Struthio camelus: one gene and its partner. Each later gene encodes a partner of the first gene's protein in a complex. Links are inferred from orthologs where the notes say so. Each region holds a gene or a part of one and is shown on either strand. Other genes may lie near its edges.

Region 1 (13,249 bases):
AGGTATTGTGCTCTAAGTTTTGGGGGATTTCTGTCTTGCAGTCACTTTTATTTACAAGAGAATTGCACAGTCGCATTAAAATAGTATATATTTAAACTCAATTCTTTTTACTTGAAACACTGTTGCTATCTCAGTTAAGAATAAGGACAAGGCACAAACACAGTCATTTTCTTAGCAATGTATATAATCTAAGGCATTCAGATACCAATATCAACAGCCATCTTGGACAAATCAAAACGATTGTGGACTATATATAATTTTTGCATCTTGTCAAGGGAACTCTTGCTCCTCTACAAATTCAGGGAATTAAAAAAAATAATAAAAAAAAAGATCTAGAAAACAATTCAGGATCCTAGCCAGAAACCCCACCTGTCTCCCATGTCGCCATTCCAGTTCATTCAATACAAAAATTTGAGTGCACATATAAAGTTGCAGTAAAACATGCATGTGCATATTTATCTTGTTTTTGTTTTATCTGAATGGTAGTCAAAAACAAAGGTAGAAGCAGAAGGCATGCAAGATTGCCCCACAAAATCTGTCCTACTAAAAGCACAGCACAAGACAATGTCCTCGACTCTGCAAGAACCATGCCAGATTCCTGAAAAGCAACCCAATACAAAGTTTCTTGTCTCTTCAACTTGATAAAGCCAGCTAGGCAAGAGGAACGAACTTTGAGACACTACACAGTTTATGAGGTTTTGAATTCCCCTCTGCCACACACACGTAATTCAGTTATATTTATAAAGCTACTTAATAGCTATCTGGAAGTGATCAAATATTTTCAAGCCTAATTAAAGTCATTTACTGAAGGGAACTTTCTTTCCTTCAGAAAATAATGCACTAGATGCTTTAAAAATTCATATACATTGTATTTTTACCTTTGTAAAAAGGAATGTAAACTGCCTAGTGTGTATATATATGAAAAACATTTAAAAGAACAATACAGTAATGCCATTAGTATATTTTTAAGATTACACGTCAACGATCTTAGAAACACTCCAACTTCGGAGCGTACTCACATCCTGCTTCAATACAAACCTGTGAACATAGGACCTCAGGCCATAAAAGCCTTATTATTTAAAAGGGTTTTCATTATACTGTATTCTACTGTGTAATGACACGTTTCAGCCTGGCACATATAAATTACTCCCCTTCTAATAGGTCACATTATCAACTGCAATTTATCTTTTGTTGTATAATAATGTTTATTCCCCCAAAAGAAGGAACATGCACATAGTCTTCACTCTATTTTCTAAGTATCAGTTTGAAATAAAATTTGCAAAACGTCCTAATGATTTAAGAGCCTACATTCTGTTTGCAGAACTAACGTAAGCATTTACAGACCAAAAACTCATGAAAACCCATTAGGATGTAGGTGTTTTTGAAAACTTTAGTCTGCAGTAAGGCTTCATACCTTGACCTTTAGCAGACATAGATGGAAATGGCCTGTGCTGAGGAGTAAATATGCAGCCAGAGGTAATGAAAAGGTTAAACACTTAAATACTTTATTTTAAAGCAAACCTCCAAAACATTACTTATAAACTGAAATATCTTTTGAAATATCTTCAAAAGTATGCTACAGATTATATTATTATCATGAAATATGATTGTAAACATCTCATTTCACATTAGTTACAGAAAGGTTTTCTGAAATTTCCTTACTTCTGACTTTAACTCTAGGACCTCATAAATTCAGTAAATCTAGTATCTTCACATATCAGATCTCACATTCAGTTCCAAGAATATAAGCAATCCATTGATTTTTTTTCCCTGATTTCTCCTGGGGAAATTTTTTTTTACATAATGTAATACACGCTACTTTATTCCAGGGTCTACAGTCCTGAAAAAGAACTGAGTTTTCCTACAGGTATAAAGGTACCAAAAAAAAAAAAAAAAAAAATCACCACATGAACCTCTGCACTTCTTCACTATTTGGCCATTGGAATGTTTTGTTTAAAAAAAGATAAAAAGTCACTACATTCACAAAAATATAAAAAGCCAGCTCAATAAGTTGTCTATAAAGAGATGGAAATGGAATATTGAGCCTATATATTAAGTACGGCAAAATAAAGTAACGAAATTCTAGCAACTTTTGAGGAACTGTAACAGCAAATAAACATACAAAATACATTAAAATCCAGAATATTGATTTTGATGTCAAGGTATCAGCAAAACTCCAGCCAGCAAATATATAGACTGGAACTAACAGGTATTTTACAAGCTCATGTCTTTGGAAGACTTTTCTCCAGACATAGAAAGTATAATGTCTGTTATCTGCTAGTAAATACTTATGAACATAGGTAAATTTCCAGACCAGGAATAAAGAGATGACAGCAATTAAGCTGTACTGCACTGGGTGCTTCCGTAAGGTCAGAAGGAACTTCCTGATTTTAGTAGGGGTCAATAAATGGGGGAAGGAAAAAAAGAGAGTAAACGACAGAAAATAGAACAGCTGAGGAAAGTGCAAACAGGCTTCATGGCTACTTCTGTCACCAACAACTATTCCGCCATTGATGAACACAAAAGCAAAGAACACAACTACTAATATGATGTATGGCCAAGTTAAAGCAATAAGCGTAATTAAGTTTTGAGGTAATATGAGGTATTCAATAACAAACTGGAAAATTCTGATCAGATCTGAAAATGATCCTTTCATGGAAGAAATCTTTTCATCCTTCTTTTTCAGTAACTCTGTCTTCCAGGCCTCATTTAGTTTTTCTGCAACTACATTTCCTGCACAAAAAACCGTCCATACAATATTTGTCTGACGAAACATGAAGCCACAACATCCAAGCAGAGCTGAAGCCTTATGGTTACCATAAAGGCACATTAAATATGAAAAGAGAGTAAAAAATACTGATCCTGGGTCCGTATAATAAAGGAATGTAAAAAAATAAAGGGTGGGAAATATTGCAAGAGTTAATGTAGACAAGATTCTCTGGAAACCAGATACAGCCTAGAAAAGAAGCAAAAAAAATGCAATTAGTAATATCCAATAAAAACCAAAAAAACCCAAAGGGTATCATTCTTCAGAATCCCATTATCACAATATAATGTCTCTTTTGCTCATTGATTCCATTAGTGCACTAGCACGCAAGCTACATTTTTGTAAACCGCCCGTTACGTTAACATAGAGTGCAGGACAATAAAATGCTAAGAGACAAACGAAATCAAGAAGTATAACTGCTGGTGAGTTAAAAATATGGCAAAGAAAATACATCAGCTTCTTCCATATCTCAGATGTTCACATATTTGTAGCATTAAAGTCATTGTGGGAGTATAATTGCTCTCACACCTATGATAAGCGAGTTGCATTAATGGGCAAAAGAAAAGAAAAAAATTTGTTTTCAGTGTTGCATGCCCCTGCAATCACGTCATTAGATTATATTTATTTGTGACACACTAGAACACATCATTCTGTGCTTGCACTATTGCCTCTTTTGAAGCCAGTCCACAGGTGGGCCAGTTAAGCTTCTAACCTTTGGTGCAGCTTTTGTTGTTTATTTTTGTTATAATTCATGAGTTAGAAAAGAAACTTTAAAGAAGGTACAAGATCATACAGTTAAAAACTCCTCCCAATTATCCCACTCACTGCAAGATGCAATGTAATTCACAGCACTAAAAACTGCTGCATGATGGTTCTGAATGATGTAGCGTGGGATGAAACAGCCAGTCACCACCAAATTGAAAACAGAAATAGAGAAAATGCTCAAAGCTCAAGGAAGTGACAACAACGCAAGTACGTTTTGTAACGCTTATACTACAGCCAAGAAACCTTTTTTTTTTTCTTACATTTCTATTTCCACTTCCAAATATAAAATTAAAAGCATTCCAAAAGAGGAAACATTTTACTGATTTTGACCCAGTTCTGTACAGTTCCATCAAGCACTTAAGCATGTAGAGTCCTCTGTAATCTACATCAGAAGACATTTTCTTTATAATGATGGAATACCAGTGAATAGCAAAAAATGTACTTACAGTTTAAAGGTGAAACTAAAGACAGCAAACTAAGCTGAAATAAGCCATTAACTGCTGGATCAATTTACCTGCAACAGGGTTGATGATCCATCACTTTAAACATACAATATTCTCATATCCAAGTTCAACTGTTATGGTCTGGGTGGATCGACAACTAGATGGGTAGAAAACTAGTTAGCTGGTTAGGCTCAGTTAATGGGTCATATTCTATCTGAAGGCTGGTAACTAGAGGGGTACTACAGGGGTCTCTACTGGGACCTGTCCTGTTTAACATCTTTATACTTGGAGACAACAACAAAGCACACTCTCAGCAAGTTTGCAGATGACACCAAACTGGGGGGATGAGGCAACACACTGAAGAGCAGAGCTGCCATCCAGAGGGACCTAGACAAGCTGGAGGAATGGGGTAACAGAAACCTTATGAAATTCAGCAAGGGAAAATGCAAGGCCCTGCAGCTAGAAAGCGAGAACCTACTGCAATGGTTCAGGCTGGGGACAGAGTGACTGGGGAGCAGCTCTGTGGAAAAGGACCCGGGAGTCTGAGCAGACAGAGAGATGAACATGAGGCAGCAGCATCTCCTGGCAGCAAGGAGAGGCAACAGCCTTCTGGGCTGCATTAGCAGAATTGTGGCCAGTTGATCAACCAAGCGATTCTCCCACTTTGTTAGCATTTGTTAGACCACATCTAGAATACTATGTCCAGTTCTGGGCATTCCCAATAATAATAACAAAAAGAAAAGACTTTGATAAACTGGAGTGAGGGGGGAGGGCTGCCAAGATGGTCGAGAACTGCAGCACATGCCCTGTGAGGAGAAGCTGATGGAGCTGGGCTTGTTCAGCTTGGAGAAGGGATGGTTTCGGGGGGACCAAAGAGTAGCCTGACAATACTTATGAGGAGGTTAAGAAGAAGAGGGAGCCAGGCTCTTTGCAGCGCTGCACGGTGGGCCGACAAGTGACAACAGGTATAAATTAAAACAAGAGCGCTTCAAATTGGATGAAAGGAAAAACTCTTTCACCACGAGGCCAGTCCAGCAGTGCAACAGGCTACCTGGAGAGGTTGCACAGTTGCTCTCCATCCTTGGAAGGTTTTCAAGACCCAGCTAGATAAAGCCCTGAGCTGCTTGCTCTGACCCCAGAGCTGACCGTGCTTTGCGCAGGGGGCTGGACTACAGACCTCCTGAGATCCCCTCCAGCCTAATTATCCTATAATTCTAAATCTTGACATCAAATTTGGTATCTTTCTAAAAAAACACATTTTTGCTCAAACACAGCTCATTGGGCTTCGTTGAGGAATCAGCGGGTGAAGTTTTATGGCAAGCCTTAAGCAATTCCAACTAGATGAGCATTCACTCCTTCAGATAAAAAGTCCCTATGAATATTAACTTTATGTTTTATTTCAACTAAACTGTTTACAGGCATGTGCAAGGGTACGTCTTTAGAGGATCACACCCTTAGAGGGAGAAAAAAGATTGTTTCTGGAGAGAAGAAACGCACCTCCCTGACTCAAACTGGTAGTGATACTTGTAGCCACATAAAAACTGAAGATAACTCAAATATCTAATAAAAGAGGCATATGTAGAGTCACCAAAATTGTTTGCACTAGTGCAGAAAATTATTCCACTTGAACTGTACCTTATTTTTCGGATGCATCTTGGACAAAAGCAAGTACAGTAAATAGAAGTTTCCAGCACTGAAAAGGAGGTTAATAAACCTGAGCATCCCTGTAGAGCATACGATGCTTCCGGTCCACCCAAAGAGCCACGCCGCAGGCCTCACTATCCCAACCGAGAGCAGGTACAGGCCAGGCAGAGTAGTGATCATGGGATCCCACTTCAAAACAGAGAGAGGGGTCAGGTTACAGAGCCGCTATCGCAGGGAGAACGGGTCAGAGATGCACAACCCCAGAGACAGTTACGACTGACAGCTGTAGCTTATCCTTCGTTTTGTTCCTTTAGCTATTTACTGAATTTCGGGTATTAGTGTGAAACGTTGACATGTTTTATATGTCCTTCTATGGTGTCACGTGCATTCGATGAGCAGTAAACACAGAATCCCAGAACGGCTGAGGTTGGCAGGGACCTCTGGAGGTCATCTAGGCCAACCCCCCTGCTCAACCAGGGTCCTCTAGAGCACCTTACACAGGATCGCGTCCAGGCCATCTCCAGCGAAGGAGACTCCACAGCCTCTCTGGACAACCTGTGCCAGTGCTCTGTCACCCTGACAGGAAAGAAGTTTTCCTCGTGTTCAGACGGAAGGGCCTGCGGTTCAGCTTGTGCCCGCTGCCCCTCGTCCTGCCGCTGGGCACCACGGAGAAGCGTCTGGACCACTAACTATACCGGACCGCTAGGTAACGGAAAACACAGGCACGCGTTTCAGGCGCCTCCTCCCCCCCCCCCCCCCCAGAAGCACTCCCCCTTTTCCACGCACCCTTACGGCTCCTGAGGAGCAGCGCTCCGCGGCGGCAGAGCGGGGCCGCATCGCCCCGACGCAAGGCGGGGGAAGGAGGAAGCGCTGGGGCGGGCGCCAGGCGCAGGGAGCGGCCCGAGGGGGGGCAGCCAGGGCCGGGGGGAGCCGGCGGTCGGCACGCACCTGCTGGAAGCGGCCCTCGCAGTAGGCCTGCGCCTGCGGGACGTGGAAGGCCTCGTCCATGTAGGGCGCGCGCTGGCGGCGGTTGAGCGCCGCGAAGAGCAGGCACGAGAGCAGGAAGGTGCCGCTCATGGCGGCCGAGAAGCCGTAGGCCGCGGCGCGCTCCATGCTGCTGCCGCCGCCGCCGCCGCCGCCGCCGGGAGAGGCCGCCCTTCCGGGGAGGGGCCGGGCGGCGCGGGCCGCGGCGGAGGCGGTCGGCGGGCGGTGAGGGCCGCGGGAGCGGCGGCGGCGGCGCGGGTCGGCCCCGGGCCCGGGTCCCGGCGGGGCGGGGCGGGGCGGGGCGGGGGGTGCCGGGCGCGGGCCGCCGCCGCCGCCGCCCTGGGGGTGTCGGGCGGGAAGGGGCGAGCGAGGCCGCGGGCGCTGCGCCGGGGGGAGGCCGCTGGCTGGAACATCTGGCTCAACTTATCTCTCATTAAACTCGATGTTCACCTCAAAGAAGTGCTGAGAGTCTGCGCTGAGCACCTGTGACCGGTCAAGCATTACTGAAACGCGGGTCTGTACGAGGCAGAACGTGTGCGGCTTGTGTGTAATGACTGTTCTTGCGGATGCCCTAGGGTAGGTCGCTGCTGTATGTTATTCCGGGCGAAACTGGCGCTTTCGTGACAAGATGCCGCATTTAACGCACCAGCTGGAGCTATTTCCGGACCGTAGCGTGACTCTCCTCCTGTTTAATCATGTGAAAAATGCTGCGGCTCTCAGAAAAAAAGCGATGGAAGGCTGTATTGATGGAGCATTAATAAATCCCGCCATGGTAAGCAAATGTCCTTATTGTCCTGTTCATTCTGCATTATGGTTTTGAAGGCTGCATGGAGTTCTGTCTGCCTAAAAGCTGTAGGAAAATGAGCTGTGTTTGTAGCCTCTATCATGTAAGCTGCTGTGTATACTTAGCTTTCACTGTGTAAATGCAACTCCTTTGATTTGATTATGACACTACAGAAGTATATGTGTCCCTCTATGTAGAAGGTAGAGCCTAGTCTTTTTTGGCAAAAATGGCCAAAAAATAATTCATCTCCTCCTTGATTCCCTTAACGTTCCTACTGCGTGGAGCTATTTAAATCTACTTCCATCTGTAAAATGTATTAATAATCATTTAGTGCTCTATTAAAAACCGCTAATGTTAGGAGCCTTTGTTCTCATCTAAACCCATAACTAGTTTCTGGTTTTTTGTCTTGAATTAAAGCAGTTGTTGGTTAGGGAAGAAAAAAAATCTAATCTGGCAATTAACTGAGAGAAGATTTATTAATGTGATACTTCTTTCAAAAGATTCCAGTAACCTAATTGTGAGTGTAATCTTTATTTTTATGTCAAGCATTGTCTCACTCAGTAAATGATCCCATTGACTTTGGAAGAGCAAGATTTACTGAAATGAATTGCTGGATAGTGCATTGCAGACGGTAATGATGGCAGACTGTCAGAGTCCAGTGCTCTCTGACCAGGTTCTTTTAGATATTCCATGTATACAGAGAGTGCAATGTTTCCTATAAAAGTTTATTTTTGAGGGAGTTTGATGTTACATGGGATTTTGATTTAGCAGAGTGATTCAGTAATATACTGAAATCACAATTCAAGTGTATACACTTAAAAAAATATAGCTGAACAGTTCAGTAACAATACCAATGTGTGGTTGCCATTACTGGTCTCAAATATGCTCGCCGACACGACGCTGAGTGTCCCCAGTTGCTGGGAAGGACTGTGTGGGTTGATATCAGCTCAAGCCCGTTCCTTTCTTTGAAATTTCTTCGTTAGTCGTTGAGGTTTTATACTCTCTATTGGGCTGAGCTGCATATACACTTCCATCATGCTGGTCTGGCTAATCTCAGGCAGACATTCGCATCCTTTTGATCAGCTCAGGAAAAAAACTACTTCCACCAGGTCCAGGTAACAGATATGGCTGCTTATCTAAGATGAAGGCCACCCCTGAGTCCCCTTTGTCTTGCGATAACATCAGTTCTCTGTGCAACAGCTGTGGTTAGCGAGCTGCCTCCTACACTGTCCTTGACGTTTATGGGGCAGCTTGCCCTCTGAGCCTTCTCCCATTGTACGGGTTGTTGATCCGTCACACAGACTTAGCCTAACAAAGTTGAGCGCCACGGTTTTTTTTCCGGTGTTCAAAATATTGCCTAAAATTTCTATTTGTCTATTGTATTTTACAGATTGTAGACCCTTTTCAAATTCTTGTGGCAGCCAACAAGGCAGTTCATCTACACAAGATTGGTAAAATGAAGACCAGAACTCTCTATACAGAAATCATTTTCAACCTTTCGCCAAACAACAATGTAAGATATACAGAACAGTTAGTGTTTTTTCCAGAGAGGCTTGCTAAGTTCCATGCAGTCAAAACTAAATATAAGCATTCACTGAACAGTTTACCTGGCCTTACAACATCATACTCTGATGTACCAGAACCTTCTCTGAAGTAACCAGAATAGTCATATTTCCGTAGTCCTACTGTTGTGCAGACAGAACTCACATGCAGCGATTCTCTCCTTCGTTCTCATCCTTGACAATTTCAGAGTAATCACAGAATGGTTGAGGTTAGAAGGGACCTCTGGAGATCATCTAGGCCAACCCTCCTGCTCAAGAAGGTCCTCTAGAGCATGTTGCCCTAAAATGTGTCCAGACGGGTTTTGAATATCTCCAGGGAAGGAGACTCCACAACCTTTCTGGGCAACTTATTACAGTGCTGTGTCACCCTCACAGGAGAGAAGTTTTTCCTTACATTCAGACAGAAACTTCCTGTGTTTCAGTTTGTGCCTGTTGCCTCTCGTCCTATCACTGGGCACCACTGAGAAGAGTCTGGCCCCATCCTCTTGACAGAGACTTATTACACGGTGATAAGATTCCCCCCTCGGTGCTCTGTTCTCCAGGCTGAACAGGCCCAGCTCTCTCAGCCTTTCCTCATAGGAGAGATGCTCCAGTCCCTTAATCATCTTAGTAGCCCTCTGCTGGGCTTGCTCCAGAAGTTCCATGTCTCTCTTGTATTGGGAATTCTCCTCTATGTTGTTTGCTTTTAGGGTTTTTTTTTTTAATGTAAAAGTCTGTAATATTTTTCTTTAAAAAGGTAAAAATGTTAGGATACCTCCAAATCCTCTCACAACTCGTATAACGGAAAAAAACCCTACTGATTTGACAACACGTTGCCATGAACGTTAGTCACTGTGTGAAATTATAGTCTTAGCAGTCATAGTGAATAACAATACTCTCATTCTGATGTTAAGTGTAATGTATTAAATTAGTGTATATATATTATATTGTATTATAATGTATTAAATGATTTAATTAATACTTCAGAAATTACCCATAATACTCATGCAAATTACTATCAACATTTGACAATAATACAAAAGATGGAAAATAAGACTTTTACTCTTTCTCCTTTAATGTACAGTTCTAGAGCACTACAGAAAGCACCTAGTAAATGATTTCAGAAATAAAATTGTAGAATGCCGATGAAAAATTAATCTATATAGGCTGTAGGGAAATCACTTTCACACAGTTCTGTTCTCATTTTTGCCAGTAATTGAGCAAATGTGCCAACTTCTTTGGAAAAAAAAAATTGACACCATAACTAATATTAATTAGGGGTCAGTGAATCCTGAAAGAGTTAGAAGACAATGGAGATTCAAGAATAACTCTCTCCAGGGACGCATAGCTTAAAATAATGTGGCAGATGTTTAGCTGTCTAGAATGTACTGTGCGTAAATGATGATAAATGATTGATTTTCTTTGCTGCTATCCCTGTCTTCCAAATAGTCCGTTTGCACTGCGCTGTTAAAAATAGGAGAGCATAATGGTGAGCCATAGCTTATTTTTTAACCTATGGACCATTTTGTATAAGGAACCTGGCTTACATTTGTTGTGGTAGCACGTGGTTGTGTCATGTTCAAGCTTAATTAGAATTTTAACACTTACTCAGACTCCCATTTGTCTGACATTTCCAAAATACCTAGGAAGTCAGATAAGTAATAGGTTTGTGAGACTCAAGGGAACTGCAGAGTTTCAGCTTCTTAAGTCATTCCTCAAGCCAAACCCTGTAATAGGTAATGTAAATTCATGACCTGAATGCGTTGATAACAAGGCTTTCATAAAATGTAATTTTAGCTTACAGAGGTTTATTTCCATATGTTCCGTGTAAAATCAGTGGTCACAGATATGCTCCTACAAAGGGCAGTTCAGAGCACTTAATGCTAAGATTTTGCTCTCTTTCATTATGTGAAGAAGTCTCTTTCATTATGTGAAGAAGGGTATGGAAGAAAGCTAGCCTCCTTAGCTAAAGTTAGTATTTGGGAATATCTCTGTGAGACTTTTGCTTTGAAGATGATCATTTACTGCCCCTAGATTTATGAAGAGGAACAGAAATGTAATTAGAGAGACAGAGACGTTTTTTCAGATATTCTTCCCTAAATATTTTTAGCCTTTATTCTTCCACAGTCGTTTTATCCTCAAATTTCTGTATCAATGGATCTGTTTGATTGTAAACTTCAGCTGTAGACACACTCAGCAGCAGATACACTAGCAAAATTAAGAACTGTCTGGTAGGTGTTAGGCTGTACCATTTCTGTATATAGATTTTGTTTTGTTTTTTTTTACCGTTATATATATATTTTTAAAAACAAAAACAGTAACCAAAAAAAAAGCCTCAAATGTGGAAAGAGACTTGACCTAACCGATGTAGCAGTTGTGGTCACACAGTAACTATTATTCTAGTTTTCTGATGATTTAAGATCATGCAGTCTTGCCAAGGGGGGAAAAAAAACCCTAAAACTTCTTAACAACTGTTTTGATCCAGGTGGAATAAAACCCCCAGACTACTAATAGAAGTTAGTGTAAGAAGTAATTTCTCTCTTATAGTTGATTAACATTTTATTAATATAGATTTTGTCAGTTTATACTTCAGGTTTATTTGACCCACTAACTGAAAATGTTGCTTAAATGTAGTAAAAAAATGACTAGTTAAATTTTGGGTTTTTTTCATCTTTCCTTAGATTTCAGATGCATTGAAAAAATTTGGTATTTCAGACAGTGACACAGCGGTACTCATTGTTCTGGTTGAAGACAGAGAAAAAACTGTAAATCTGGAAGATGTAGCATCTCAAGTAGAAGGCCAGCAGGTTTCTCTAGATGAACTCCCCCAACTAACAGACATTGCAAAAATTAAAAAGGTATGTAGCCAAAAGAGAGAATTGTGGTTGAGGAAAGGGGTATTTTATTTGATTGTCTGATTAAATCTCAACTGACATAACTCATTTAGAGTTTATATTTCTTTAATATGACTGGAAGCTTGCTATAAGTAAAACTTGATTATTTGTTTCTTTTACTAGTTTTACTCTGGGGGAAAAGGTTTCTAGTGGTCGTCCTCTAATGTACCAAATTTTGAGTCATCAAATTCTTAGTATCCTCAGAAATTTAGAACACAGAAATGAAATCTAGATTGCTCCCCACTGTTCTGTCGCTTCCTTTTCTTGTTTTCCCAAGTAAATATACATTTAATTAAAAATAAACGTTCAGTTCTGCGTAGTTTCATAATCTTAAATACATAAATAGTCCCAGCACGGGCAACTAAAATAAGAATGATTTGTTGGTTACCTGCTAGGAACCGTGTTAGGGCATTTGCACTTTAGCAGATTACCGTAAGCTAGGAAGGTATCTTGAAGTATGTGTGTTCCATGTGATGAAATTGAAGCAGCTTAAACCGTCTTGCTTATGTCAGTCAAAGTAATGGTGGGAGAGAGATGAGCAAAACTGGACGTATCATAGCATATAACATGTAGAGCTGAAAGTACTGTTATCTATCAGTTTCTTAGCTTTCCCTTGGCTCTGCAGTTTAAGAATTTGCCTGGTTCCTACTCCTTCATCTAGCCTGCAAGACAAGACATACATTTCTACTGTAAAAAATTGGAGGGGGTTAATGTATATATTTTTAAATATATTTTTAATATTTTTTTTAAAGTTAAGTATGATAACTTTTTTCTGCCTTATACAGCCTTTATGTTTTTCTGGGTTTTTTTCTGCAGATGTACAAACTTACTCCACAGGAAGAAAAAATCGGCACCTTATTGGATGGCATTATTTGCAGAATGTCGACAAAAGATGTTTTATGAAAACGTGCAAATAAATTTTTTTTAAAAAGAAAAACAGATCTTTTAAGCTTCAAAAATACTTTGTGGTAATTCAGCCTGTATTTCAGAGAAATCGGTGTAATACCGAGTAGTGTGGTGGTATCTGAGCTTTAACTATAAATACTAGCTTGGATGTGGGAGTAATCTAAGCTATATTCTAAGCACAAGCAATTCTGCTGTACTAAGCAAAATTTGCTATTACCCTTTCTGTCTATGTTCTTATTTAACAAGAGAAAAGATCACTTTTCCCGATACCTTGAGCTGATCATAAAAAGAAGGCTTGAAAATCTGTACTGACTTTTCTCTTTCATTGAGCATTTTATCATCCACAAATAGGATTCAAACACTGTAAATTATTTTTATTAATCCTACTGTGACTTGTTTTATTTTGGCACCCCTGAGGGGTGATATCATTTTGATGTTTAACAACAGTATTGACAGGAAAATTGTCTCAGTAGTGCCAAGTATTGCTCTTGGACTAGAAAAAGGGAAGTTTTTCACACCGT
Region 2 (12,161 bases), on another chromosome or scaffold:
TTTTTATCTGCAAGCTTCTCTTCAAGGAACCCCTCTTTGCCTCCCCCACTTCTACGTTTACAATGAAGAGAGCATACATACCAAACAGTCTTCACACGTGCATAACTTGCTTCTCCAGTTTGATGGCCAAAAGGTGGCAGTATCTTTTCTTAAAAATTTCTTGCTTTGGAGTTCTTTCAGCTTGCAGACTGGTTCTTCACTCTTAGTAACTATCTGAATTAAAATGAGAGTGCTCAGTACTCTAACTTCACTTCAAATGCATTCAGTTCTAGCAGCATGTCATTTTCCTTAGGCAAGTTTTTTTTTTGTTGTCTCAGACATTTATTTCTATAGAATATATAGAGAGAGCCGGACTATCATGCAAATGCAGCCACAGTGCATAATACCACTGTACTAGAACAAACTCAGGAGTTATTTCAGTGTGAAGGCAGAACAGCTGACAAGTACAGGGCTGACTCTTTACTTGCAAGTAAATCACCCACATTTCCAAGCACGTTCCATAGCCTATTCCATGCTCCACAGAGAACACAGATTTTAGCATCTCAGTAACAAAAATACAGAAAACGAGCATGGAAATAGACAGAAACCATTTACCTGAACCTACACAGAAAGAGGTGGGCTTTAGTTTCCCTATCAACAGGATGATGCATACAACAGAAAAGAAAGCACATTTTACCTCTGGACATGAAGGCCCAGAGCTAGTAGATGGTTCATTAAACTGTTCTGTTCGCTTTCCCTCCTCCTTTTCTTGGTGTTCTACTCCACTTTCTTTTTTTATTTCTTTCTTCTGTTCTTCGTTTTCCTCAACGTTCAGGACAATCCCCTCATCTTCAAAAGAGTTCACTTTGGTCAAAGCAGGAACTAGGACGATGCATATCCATGTAAATAAAAATACTGTGCCAGGCAAAGTACAGACTACTACATGCTTTCTTTTTTGCTTTATAATGCCGTGTTACAGGGCACCTAGACTGTCTGATACAGATCATAACCAGAGTTCTAGATACATTCTACAGTTATCCAAAAACAGTGACCTATGTATACAATGAAACTCCTTCCTCTTTCATCACCTCCCATATTCCCATCCACAAATACTCTGCCTCCCAAAATGTAAGACCCTAGGAGAAGGAAAAGGGTAGCATAATTTCAGATAGTGTGTGACAGCTGCTGAATCTGTGATAGCTATCAAGAAGTGTCAAGAAGGACAAGCAACTTTTTTGTTGACTTTGTCCTTCCATACCTTTTATAAAGCATTTGCAGCTGTCTTCAGCTTTATACACGGTTTTGCAAAAGACAATTTTAGCAGTTCTTTATACACAGAATTGTAAATTAATAACAATTCAACATACCAAGCACAAGACTTTCTGTAGACCCTCTGCTGCACGTGTTCTTACTAACCAGAAGTTACAATAATGTAACTTCAGCTGAATGCTTCAAGAGTTTTAGTTTTCCCCATAAAATCTTTTGCTAAAGAAAGATACTAATTTTCATCAAAACAGCTCAAAAATACGAAGTAAATTCTACCAAGGAAAAGTCACAGTTGTCACCTGTACTACTTCTAAGGATGTACTAATAATGTATGCATCTTTGAACAGTTTGGGGTAACTCAACATGCAAGTGCAGTGATCTCAGCAACCAGAACGCTATGAAAGATTAACTATACTAACTGCTTCCTTGTGTCAATTTTACCTTTTGATGTCAATTCAAATGTGAGCATGGTAACACAGCTGGATGTGGGGGGGAGGGAAAGCAAAAAAGAGAACCCATCTTAGAATTCTTAAAATTACCATTTGAAATTCCTGGTGAATGAGTGCTCAATCTCCACTCAGTATAAGGAATCTTTAGGAAACAAGACTACGTGAAACCAGCCCTTTCCACTGAAAGCAAGTTAGCTGCTCTTCTCATCCTGCAGAGACCATGTACTGAACACACACCTGGTGTGATCACTGGTCTCCCCTGAGGGAACACACAACCCAAACAGAGCTCCAGCTATGTTCAAATTAAGATTTTACACGCTCTCTTTCAGGTTCAGAGTCTCTTAAACCCAGCTGTTTTCCTCACAGCTTCCCTTATGATGGCTCTTCAGATCTTTTGATTGAGCCTATAACTTAAGTTCCTTGGGGCAAGTAATAGATCTTCATCCATCCATGTGCTAGCATGCCTTTGATGAAATAAATAAGGTAGTGACAACTATGGCATTAAGATTTATGAACCAGACTTCTTTTTTTTTTTTTTTTTTTAATAGAACAGTTAGTGCAGCCTTATATGTTTCACTGCTAAAGGTGGTTATCTGGCATGATGAATATCATTTACTACCACTTACATATATTATGTCAATAATCAATAATTAATAATCAATTAAGTATGAGAAATACATACTAAAGAAATATTGGCTCAGAAACGTTAGTTTCCTTTACCTGCTAATTGCGAAGCATAGGCCCATAGGAAATGGCAGTGCTTCATGCAGGCTTGGCATACCATTTCATGGAAGTCTCCGCTTTCAGGAGGCACTGCACCAAGATGCTGTCAAAAAGAAACAAGCACACAACCGTGAAACACTGGCTGCAAATTAACAAATTCAACTTTTTAGTTTTAGTGCAAGTAAAACGTCAGCTGCTATCTTATTTTCACTGCAAGCATGCAGTCCTGCTTACTTTCTACAACCAGCATCAGTATAAGCAAAAGGTGGGAAAGAGCAGATCAAATTCCAGGGAAAAACTGAGATCGCAGTGCCTTTGTTTACTGTCTTTTATGCTTTCTGCATACCCAGAAATCTCAGTTCTATCTGTATCTCATTTCTAAACGTCGTTCTTCTAAACACTGTCCTAAATATAGCTGCTTAATAAGATATCTAACACATACTGCAACTTTAAACTCCCACGTTAACTTTTTGTGATTGTTTCCTTACACATAAGAAATTGTAAATCTTCATTGTTCGCATACTGAAATTGAGAAGAATTAGGTCTCAAAGCCCTCAAATAAATTTATGAGAAACACTGAGGCAATGCCTCAGTGCACTCAACTGTTTTCTTTTGAAAAACATTCTTATACAGCTTACAATATGCAGCATAACATCCTTAATGCCCATATTTATATATAAAAAAGGAAACCCACATTTTTATCTACAGAACCTATAACTGAAGCAAATCATCCTGTTTTCTTCCTTGTTCCAGCAACGTCAAACATTTTACTTTCTTTCATCCACTGTGGAATTTCACTCATGCCCTCAAAGGCATGACAAGCTGAATCCTTGCTCGTGCATTAAGTAGGGCATTCAGTAAAGCGATTCAGTAAAGTGCTTAGCTGCTTCTAAAAGATTTCTCCAAAGTCTGTAATCAGGGACCAACAGTGCAATTTGTTCCTTACTATTTAATGTAATTACAATTCAAAGCATCCCTACTCAGATTCCAATTATTATAATTTTTCAGTTAAAGACAGTTACAAACCTATTATTTTATTCCACAGAAGTAACCTTGAAAAAGTAGAGGTATTCCTAGTTATTTTGGACCAGAGTGAATAGCAACACAAGATTAAACATTTAGTAATACCTTGCAGAAGCTGAAAAGAACTGCCCTCGAACTTATGTAAAAATCTTCTGAGAACTACAGCAAATCTTTCCAAGGAAGAATTACCATACAAAACTAACTGACATTAATTTATTTCTATGCAAATAACAATTCTGCTACTTATAGTTTCCTTACCCTTCCGTGGAACCAGTCTTCACAAACTATGCATTGGATCATTTCATCTGGAATCTAGATGAATGGTCGTATTATTAGCGTTAATATCAACCTTCAGAATCTTTCACAAGCCTCAAACTGCAGTATTATGCAAAGCCCACTCAAGCGAATTGCATTTCCCTCTTCACCCACTCACACTGAGCTGCCATTAATAAGTAGTTACTGTTTCATTAGTCAGTTTGCTTCGTTAAAGTTCTAGAGCATGTGTAATTTATTAGATTATGAAGACCATGGAAATTCCCAGTTGTATTACAAAACTAGTTTTCCCAGCAGAGCAAGACATTTTTGTACAAAAGAGCAAATAAAAGCTGACATGGTATCAGTATCTTTCTTCCTGTAAACAGAAATGCATAAATAGGGGACTTATCAAAACAAGGATATTTATTATTCTCAGTGTCATCAGGTTTTATTTAGGAATGCCATATTCCTAACTTAACTGTCCATAATACAAACTTAGTACAAACTGATTTATTATGAAATAATTATTAATGATTTCTTTAGAAATATTTAGATTTCACTAAACTTGGGAGAAATTAGTTCATATTTTATAATAATACTAATACAGTCTTTTCCTATTTGGAGGATTTATGCCTTTCTTATTCTTTCTGTTCCTAACAAACTCATTTTTTAACATCTAACTTTTATAACTGCAAAGGAAAGTTTCTATGCGTAAACCAAGTGCCATGTTTTAATACTTCAGACAGAGAAACAGCATTTCCACTGATATAAAGGAAGGCTAAAGCCACTGTTAAAAGACAAAACATCCCCACCCCAGAAGCAGTCTTGTTAGAGCACTGTCACAAGCGTGAGGAAGCAGATTCTGATCTCTCATATCAAGTGACTTCTCTGTGTTCGTAGGATTTCTCAAGATAAACCCATTCCCTAAGAGAACCATATAATTCTACAGAGAGGAAAGCAGAGATGAGTGTACCACCATTTTGTCTGAATGATGGCGTGTCTTCCTCCTCTGTTTTTAAAGTATAAAGAGTTTTAACTATTTTTAAAAAGAAAGTGAGAATGTATTACTTTATATAGTGAAAGACAGTCAAAAATAATATCGATCATAAGATTTCTGAAAGTGGGATCTTCCTTAAGAAACAGCTCGAGGATCACCCTTTGCACAGTGGTTTGTATAGACACCTTCTGAACATGGTTACTGCATATTGCATTTCTTACCTCATCTTCAGGATCGGGATAAGGTCTTTTACAAGTACAGTATAATCCAAAGAAATTGTCATTATACTTATTTCCTGAATTCACTTTGCCCTTTTCCTAGAAAGAAAGGAGAAATTGTTTCAATAGGCAATGCAGTGAGAAACAGAAGACCGGAAAGATGCATACCCTAAAAAAAATTTTTACTTCCTAAAAGCGGTCATTACACTCATCAGCTTGAGCATCTGAAAACAAAGATATTACCCTGAGACCCCTATGTTATACAGTCGGCAGAAGACAGGGCACGTGAGGAGTACTGAAGTTCAAAAGGAAAGACGAAGAACAGTCTTTTCACACACAGAACAGCAAATGGCAACTATCGTGGGTTTTGTTTAAAGCTATTGCTCATCTAAAAATGCCTAAGAGCATAATATTTCTTTAACAATAACTGTTGGGAGCCAAATTTAAATTTCTTTTATATGTGCACAATTCTTTCCAGAAGGCCATTAGCCACTAAGCTTTTATTCAAACAAAATCCTTGAGGTTTGATCACCAATCATGCATGGCTGTTGCCATTGCAGCAAAGTCTGCACATTTACTGTGCACCTTCCACACGCTCTTTCTTTTTTTAAGCATCCAGACTGTGGTCCAAACTCAATTTTGTTTAATGTTATGTTTTGTTTAATGTTTAGCTTACACTAAATTAATGTCATCTAAACCTCACTCCATATGAGAGGGTGTTCCAAATTACAGAACACACTGAATGAAGTTCAGTTACAGCTAATTCCACTTCAAAAAATAACTAATACAGCTGGGGCCGGAGGACTTCAGAAGTGTATGTACTTGCAGCCTAAGACCACAGTCAGCCCTTGCAAAAACAGCTGTGACAATTTATATGCTATAAAATGCTTTTTACCACTACTCTGTTAAAAGAAGAACAGATGATATGAGCTCACTTCATCCATGAAGTCAGCCAGCTGAACATACTGATGTTGAAGGTCATTTAAACTAGCAGATTGATTTTGCACTGAAGAGAAGGAGGAGCCATATGATCCATTTCACTGACTCAAACAAGGAGCAGTAACGTCTTAGAATTGCCACACGCGACTCTGTAGGGATTACCTGACTGCAGCTCTAGGCTTACTAGCTCTGGATCAGCCCCAATTCTGCCAGGACCAAACAGGTATACACAGAACCACTTGCTGTTTCTACACTTGGAGCATTATCATCTCAGGAACAGAACTGCAGGCAAGCCAAAAAGCTTCTTTCCTCTGTCTGCTTTCCAGAACATTACCAAATACTTAATGAGTCCAAACTGCCCACTGAGCATGAAACTACAGGGAGCTTAATACAGTAAAAAACTACTCCTTCAGAAGACTCCAGTGACAGCCTATCAAGAAAGATTAGCGCACTAACGCTGCCACAGGAAAGGGGATGGAAATGTTCCTTCAGCACAATCTGAAGTTTCCTTAAAGCAACTGTAAAATCATACCCCAAAAAGATTCTCCTGAAGCCAGCTTAGAGATAGCAAGAGTTATCAATACAGGCATCACAACCTGCTAAAGCATTTTCGCTGTTTCAAACATTGAGCTAGCTATGTATGCTAGCAGCTGCATCCAAGAGTGACAAAGCTCAAACGTTGCCCCTCATTTAACTTGCAGGGAGAAGAAGAGGCACAATATGAGTCAGCACTCTCTAAGGCAAGATACCACAACCTTCTAAAACTGTTATTTTGATTCTGTATGTCTAAAAACCTGTATCTGAACTTACTGGAAGTAACTTGCACTGCAAATTTTTGAATTTGCTATTTCCACAGTCACAGCGGAAGTTCCTGGAAAGAAAAACAAAGCATTTCAGATTGATTATCTAAAAATGCATTAACTTTTGTATTTGCAACAATTCCCAACAGTTTATTAGGAACCATAAAAATATTCTTGCAGCTATTTAAACAATAGCATCTGTTAGAACTGGCCAAAGAGCCTTGCGGCCTTACCCTCTCATGCTGTGTTTCTGGCAGATCTCAGCTAACATCATCATTTACAACAGCATTTGGCTGAGAGACCTCAATAGAACAGCTAACTGAGGGTGCTGCAACTACCACATTCAAAAAGGCAAGCATGTGTATTGGCAAAAGCGTGTAAATTGGTTCATCTCCAAAGGCTAGGCTAGATCAACACAGACGATTAAGCTCTTATCTCCTATTCAGGACCCTAAATTCTCACTAAAATAGCACGGGACACTTGGATAGCTAAAGAGAATGGAGGAACGTGACTACTTAATTAACCTGACCTAAGTTTCCGGCCCAGTTTTGCAAACTTCCATACTACTGGAAACACGGTATCTTAGCATGAGTTGCACATCTAAACATTGTCCTGCTTTGGTCCATTAAAACCCATCTTAAATTTTTTTTTTTATATATAGCAGAGGACGCTGTGGGAAAATTGTTCTCTGGACAATTAATCTAGATACCAAAATTCTTCAAGGAGTTTCGAAGTACTCAGACCATTAAGGAAAACACGAGAGGGGAGGACAATTATTAGTTGAAATCACTGTGTTTCAGTACCCTGTTAAAGAAAATGCTGTATTTCACGTCAGAGATGCTTGTGTTGCACTAAATAATTGCATGAACCTTAAATGATTACCTGATTTGCAAGCGAAATTGCAAGGATAAGCCTTAGCATTTAAAAAGCAATTGTGGCAAGCACATTCAGTAGTTCCCAAGAAAACCCACGGGATGAACTCTGGAAACCAAAAACTTCGTAGATTCGAAAAGACGCAATACCCCTAGTTCTTACGGTACTGCTTCCACAGGGGGAGACTCAAATTGCTCTGTGCCTCTCAGCGTTACTTTTTATTTCCCTGTTGCAAGCAGCCTGTGTGTACTTCAGGGCACAAGATGGACACAGGTGTTTGTTAAGAGGAGGACGCACTCGACGTCTGCGGAGGCGCTACGCTCGCTGTTCTGCCGTCCCGCTTCGCGGTTTGGCCGAAGCCCCGGCAGCAGCGCTCCTCCAGCTGCGGGTCGCACGTTACCTCTTGGTGTACAGCTCGAACAGCTTGTGCGTGCCGTGGCACTCGTAGCTGCAGGCCAGGCAGATGCCCGCCGGCTCCTCGCCCGGCGGGGTGCAGGTGCTGCAGGCGTACAGCGCCTGCCTCTTCACGGCGCCCTGCAACGAAACGGCGCGCGTGGGCACGGCGGCGCCGGGCCGGGCCGGGCCGGGCCGCTGCGGGCGGCGAGCCCCGCGCAGCCCGGCCGCCCCCCGCCCCCCGCCCGGGGGTCCCTCGCGGCCCCGCCCCGCCCCGCCGCGAGGCGCCAGGTGCGCGCGCCCGGCCCGGCCCGGCCCCGCCCCCACCTGGGAGTAGCTGCATCGCTCGTGGTCGCTGCCCCCCAGCACGGCCCGCGCCTCCTTCTCGAGCTCCTCGTTCTCCGCCAACACCTCCGCCAGGGACACCACGGGCTCCTCCGGGCCCCCCGCCCCGCCGCTCCCGGGCTCGGCGCCCTCCTCCGCCGCCGCCGCCGCCTCCATCGCCGCCGCCGAGGGCCGAGCCAAGCCGAGGCGGGAAAAACGCGTCTCGGGCGCCAGGGGGCGCCGCGGCGGAAGCGGAACCGCAACCGCAACGGCGCGCGCGGCCCACGTGACGCGCGCGGCGGCGAGTCACAAAGAGGCGGGGGGGGGGGGGCGGAGGCAGCTGCCGCCGCGCGGCGCTGTGTTGTGGCACGCGGCCTGCGTGAGCGGCGCTGTGGGGCGGGGCTTGCGCGCGCGATGCGCGGCCTCGCGGGCGGGTTGCGAGCGCTTCCGGGTCAGCCCGCGCGGGCTGCGGATTGGGTGGCGGCGATGCCCGTCACGGCCCCTTGCCCGCCCTCCCCCTCCCCCTCCCCCCCTCCGGCGGCGGCGGCGGCAGCAGCGGGATGGAGCTGCGCGCGGAGCTGACGGGCCGCGACGGGCGGACGTGGCCGCTGCGGGTGCGCTGCGAGGCGGAGGCGGGCGCGGGCGGCGAGCTGCGGGGGCTGCTGCGGGGGCTCGAGAAGCTGCAGGAGCAGGTCGCGGAGCTGCTGGGGCCTCTGGTGCAGGAGGAGAGAGAGGCGGGGGGCCGCGGCGGGCCGCGCGGTGAGTGGCGGGCGGCCGTTGGGCGCGTGCCGCGGGGCGGGGCGGGGGCGCGCGGCGAGCCGGGCGCCGCGCGCCCCCTCTGCCTCAGCGCCCTCCCTCTGGGCAGCCGTGTGCTACTGGAGGGGGGCTGTGTGCCTTTTTCAACACCTCATCCGCTGTCTGCTTGAACCCTGGTAGGTGATGTTGGGGAAGAGGAGGAGGAGGAGGAGGAAGGAGATGAAGATGAAGATGAAAACAACGTTGACGTGAAAGCAAATGCAGATGGCCCACCTCTAAAACGGACAAAAGTTCAGCAGTCCTGACTATGGCGTGAAAGACTGTATTTAGGCCTAAAAAAGAGACTTTACAGCAGTATTGAATGTAAGTGTTCTTTTGGAGGGTGGTACCTCGGGGGTGGGCAGACTGTTCTTGCAAGGCAGGTGTCAGCGTTTTTCTTCCTTTTGCTCATGTTTTAAAAATGAAATGTAGATCACTGTCACTATTTCAATATAAGAAGCCTAATAAAAGGGTGTGTATTAGCATTAGCAATGTGCTTTTTACAGGAAGCGAATATTAGGCTGAAAAGATTGAGAATTTTCAGTAAACCAGGTGACAGATATGAAACACTTTTAATGGCTTCTCCTGATCACAGTATTTCTTCATATGACTTAAAACCAAACTATTTTAAAATAAAATAATAAAATATGAAGCCCGTTATTTTGTCAGCTATGGTTTTTAAATGGTATAAGACAAAGAAATCATTTGTATGGAGAGAGAATAGTGTAAGATCACTTGAGTATTCAAAATAAGTTACAAACACTTGCACAGATGTGACTGTCTGTTCCTGAACGAGCCTAAAAGATGGCAGATTGTTTCTGCGTATAATATAAAAGGTTTATTTTAGTCACCCATCACTGAAGTACTTTCCTGGTAAAGGTCATAGAAGAAGTAGATTGAAAGAGCTGGAAATCTTAGTCTCCAAACATTTTGAATTTTTATGATAGCCAGGAAGCTGACAAGTCAATGCGACTTGGATAATTATCTTTTATATCATTATACAAGTAAAACATAGCTGTCTATCCTAGTCATCTGTTTCTTCCAAACAATCTTTGTTTTTTCAAGAACCATTTAATCTTTATATACCTTTTTCATCACTGACTTTTAACCAGTTTGATTTTTAGGCCGATTCAGCAGCTAAGTCAAATAAAGTGAACGTCACAGCCTTATTAATCTGCCTATGTAGAAGTTTCAGCATTACGTCAAAGGACAAAAGGAGCAAAGTGAAATTTTATGATACTTCCTACAATAAAAACAAAAGTCAGGGCAGGAACTGGGGGCAATATCACATTCTACACTGGTTAGCGTAGTTGATTTTAGAGGAGAAAAAACGTAAGTATTCTTGTAACACCTGCCAGTATGTTATGTTTTTGGCTGTACAAACCAGCATAACCCAATCTCTGTGCTGAGCAGGAAAGAGAGATTGTCCTGTCATCTGATGATAATGCAGTAGGTGGAATGTTATCAGGCTGTCAGATGGTTCTTGCAGGGAGGGTGAGGGTTGTAAATGCTTCCTGTGTGTTACTTTAATTCCAAATTTCTGTTTGGTGCATGCTTCTGTGAACAAGTATAAGATATGCTCGATACCCAGTCCACCGAGCTTGCTGTGAAGCCTGAGAGTTTTCCCTACCAGAAATTAGCTAGCTGATTACTAGTGTAAAAAGCATTAATTTCCATGTGTTGCAAAACAGCTGGCATTGCTTGTTTCTTGGTATTCTAGAAATAGAGCAAATCTTGACACATGAATACTGAGGGCAAACAAAATTATGGGTGAATTTTTACTAGCACAAAACTACCTGCATTCATTTGAAATCATGCAAAAAGTTGAAAAAGAGATCCAGTAAATGTATCTTGGATGTCTTTCTAACAAATTCACACAGGACACACCTATTATTTTGCTAGCAGATATGACAGTCATAACTGAGGAGAAAAGACTGTGACATCAAAGACTAGAGAGTTTTATTTGCTGAGAACCTAAGATAGGAAAAAAGTGTACAAATGAATTCTGACCTCTTGTCAGGCTGCAAAATCTTAAGAGTGATAAAATACTTAAAATGTTCTTTTAGTGTAGATAATATATGCATTGAAGGAAGTGGCTTATCAAAGCGGCACAGGCAACATTTCACATACAAAAGCTAGCCTAATAAAGACATCAGAGGGCTGCTTCATGTGACCTGTGCTAAACTAACAACATGTGTTTTGGGTTCCATGTAACACAGCTTTAGAAGCTTTTTATAGAGCTCTACCCAAAGCAGTATTTTTTTTTTATTTTTTCCCTCCCTCCTTCAAACAGCACTCCTAACCACTGCAGTAATGTCAAGAGACTCCTTAAAAATAGTCCACAGGTACACAGAAGTTGACATGTCACCGGTTGAAAACCATTGGTGTAGACCAACAAATCCTAACTTTACTAGCCTGGGAATAAATTAAGGTAATGCTCCAAGTAATGAGATAACTGTTTTCCTGTGTCAGCCTGGACAGTGGTGACATCTTGCACTTGAGCTCCAGAAGAGTTCAATGAGCACTGAGATGAAAACGGCCACTCAAATTTTGCTTTTAAAGAATCATTTCTAGTCCTTCTGTTTGCAGCAGAATTTTGAAAGAATGAGGAGGATACTGGGCTTTCAACCTTAAGCGTTCCTAAAACATAGGCTCACCTGTGACATAAGTGCCAAAACTCTTCAACAGAGAACTTTATTTTTCAGAGAGCTGCTGTTCTAGGGTAACTAGGCACACAAAAGTTGTGGTGCTTTTTTCCCCTCCCCCCTCCCTGTCTGTTCTTAGAGCTGCGTTGTGGACTCTTTGGGGCGGAGGCCCTCTCTCCCACCAGGACCGCAGCCTCCCAGTTCTGGTACTGTCCTTGTAGTCAGGGAAACAGGTATGTGGGGCAACAGAGGTAACTAGCTGTGGCATCCCTCTTCCAAGCAACCAAGTCACTGAGGTCTACAGCATTTCCCATGGCTGTGGGAAACAAGCTCTAAAGTTTTCTGTTATGTGGAAAAACTTAGCACTCATTGGTGTGGAGAATATAGCAAAAAAAAAAAAAAAAAAAAGTCTGCAATGTGCAATGACTTATATCAAGCTGTGCTAGAAGATGAAACTCCCTGAGCAACCCTGTGAGAGCAGG

The links.
Region 2: TPRKB (region 1) and GON7 share a complex: the UniProt entries of both Homo sapiens proteins name them as parts of the EKC/KEOPS complex. The link is inferred for Struthio camelus from reciprocal best matches to the Homo sapiens genes TPRKB and GON7.

Annotation. Positions count from the first base shown.
Region 1 is NC_090942.1:17,452,022-17,465,270, forward strand, and holds TPRKB (EKC/KEOPS complex subunit TPRKB), read left to right. Parts: upstream 1-7,184; 5' UTR 7,185-7,231; coding exon 7,232-7,375; intron 7,376-8,777; coding exon 8,778-8,900; intron 8,901-11,609; coding exon 11,610-11,786; intron 11,787-12,638; coding exon 12,639-12,725; 3' UTR 12,726-13,034; downstream 13,035-13,249. Other genes in the region: ALG10 (dol-P-Glc:Glc(2)Man(9)GlcNAc(2)-PP-Dol alpha-1,2-glucosyltransferase), read right to left, coding at 1,901-2,956, 5,611-5,808, 6,568-6,732. UniProt on the Homo sapiens protein: Component of the EKC/KEOPS complex that is required for the formation of a threonylcarbamoyl group on adenosine at position 37 (t(6)A37) in tRNAs that read codons beginning with adenine.
Region 2 is NC_090946.1:66,325,085-66,337,245, reverse strand, and holds GON7 (EKC/KEOPS complex subunit GON7), read left to right. Parts: upstream 1-8,765; 5' UTR 8,766-8,799; coding exon 8,800-8,998; intron 8,999-9,175; coding exon 9,176-9,300; 3' UTR 9,301-9,686; downstream 9,687-12,161. Other genes in the region: putative E3 ubiquitin-protein ligase UBR7, read right to left, coding at 82-213, 677-861, 2,415-2,520, 3,699-3,752, 4,914-5,009, 6,660-6,720, 7,923-8,056, 8,243-8,416. UniProt on the Homo sapiens protein: Component of the EKC/KEOPS complex that is required for the formation of a threonylcarbamoyl group on adenosine at position 37 (t(6)A37) in tRNAs that read codons beginning with adenine.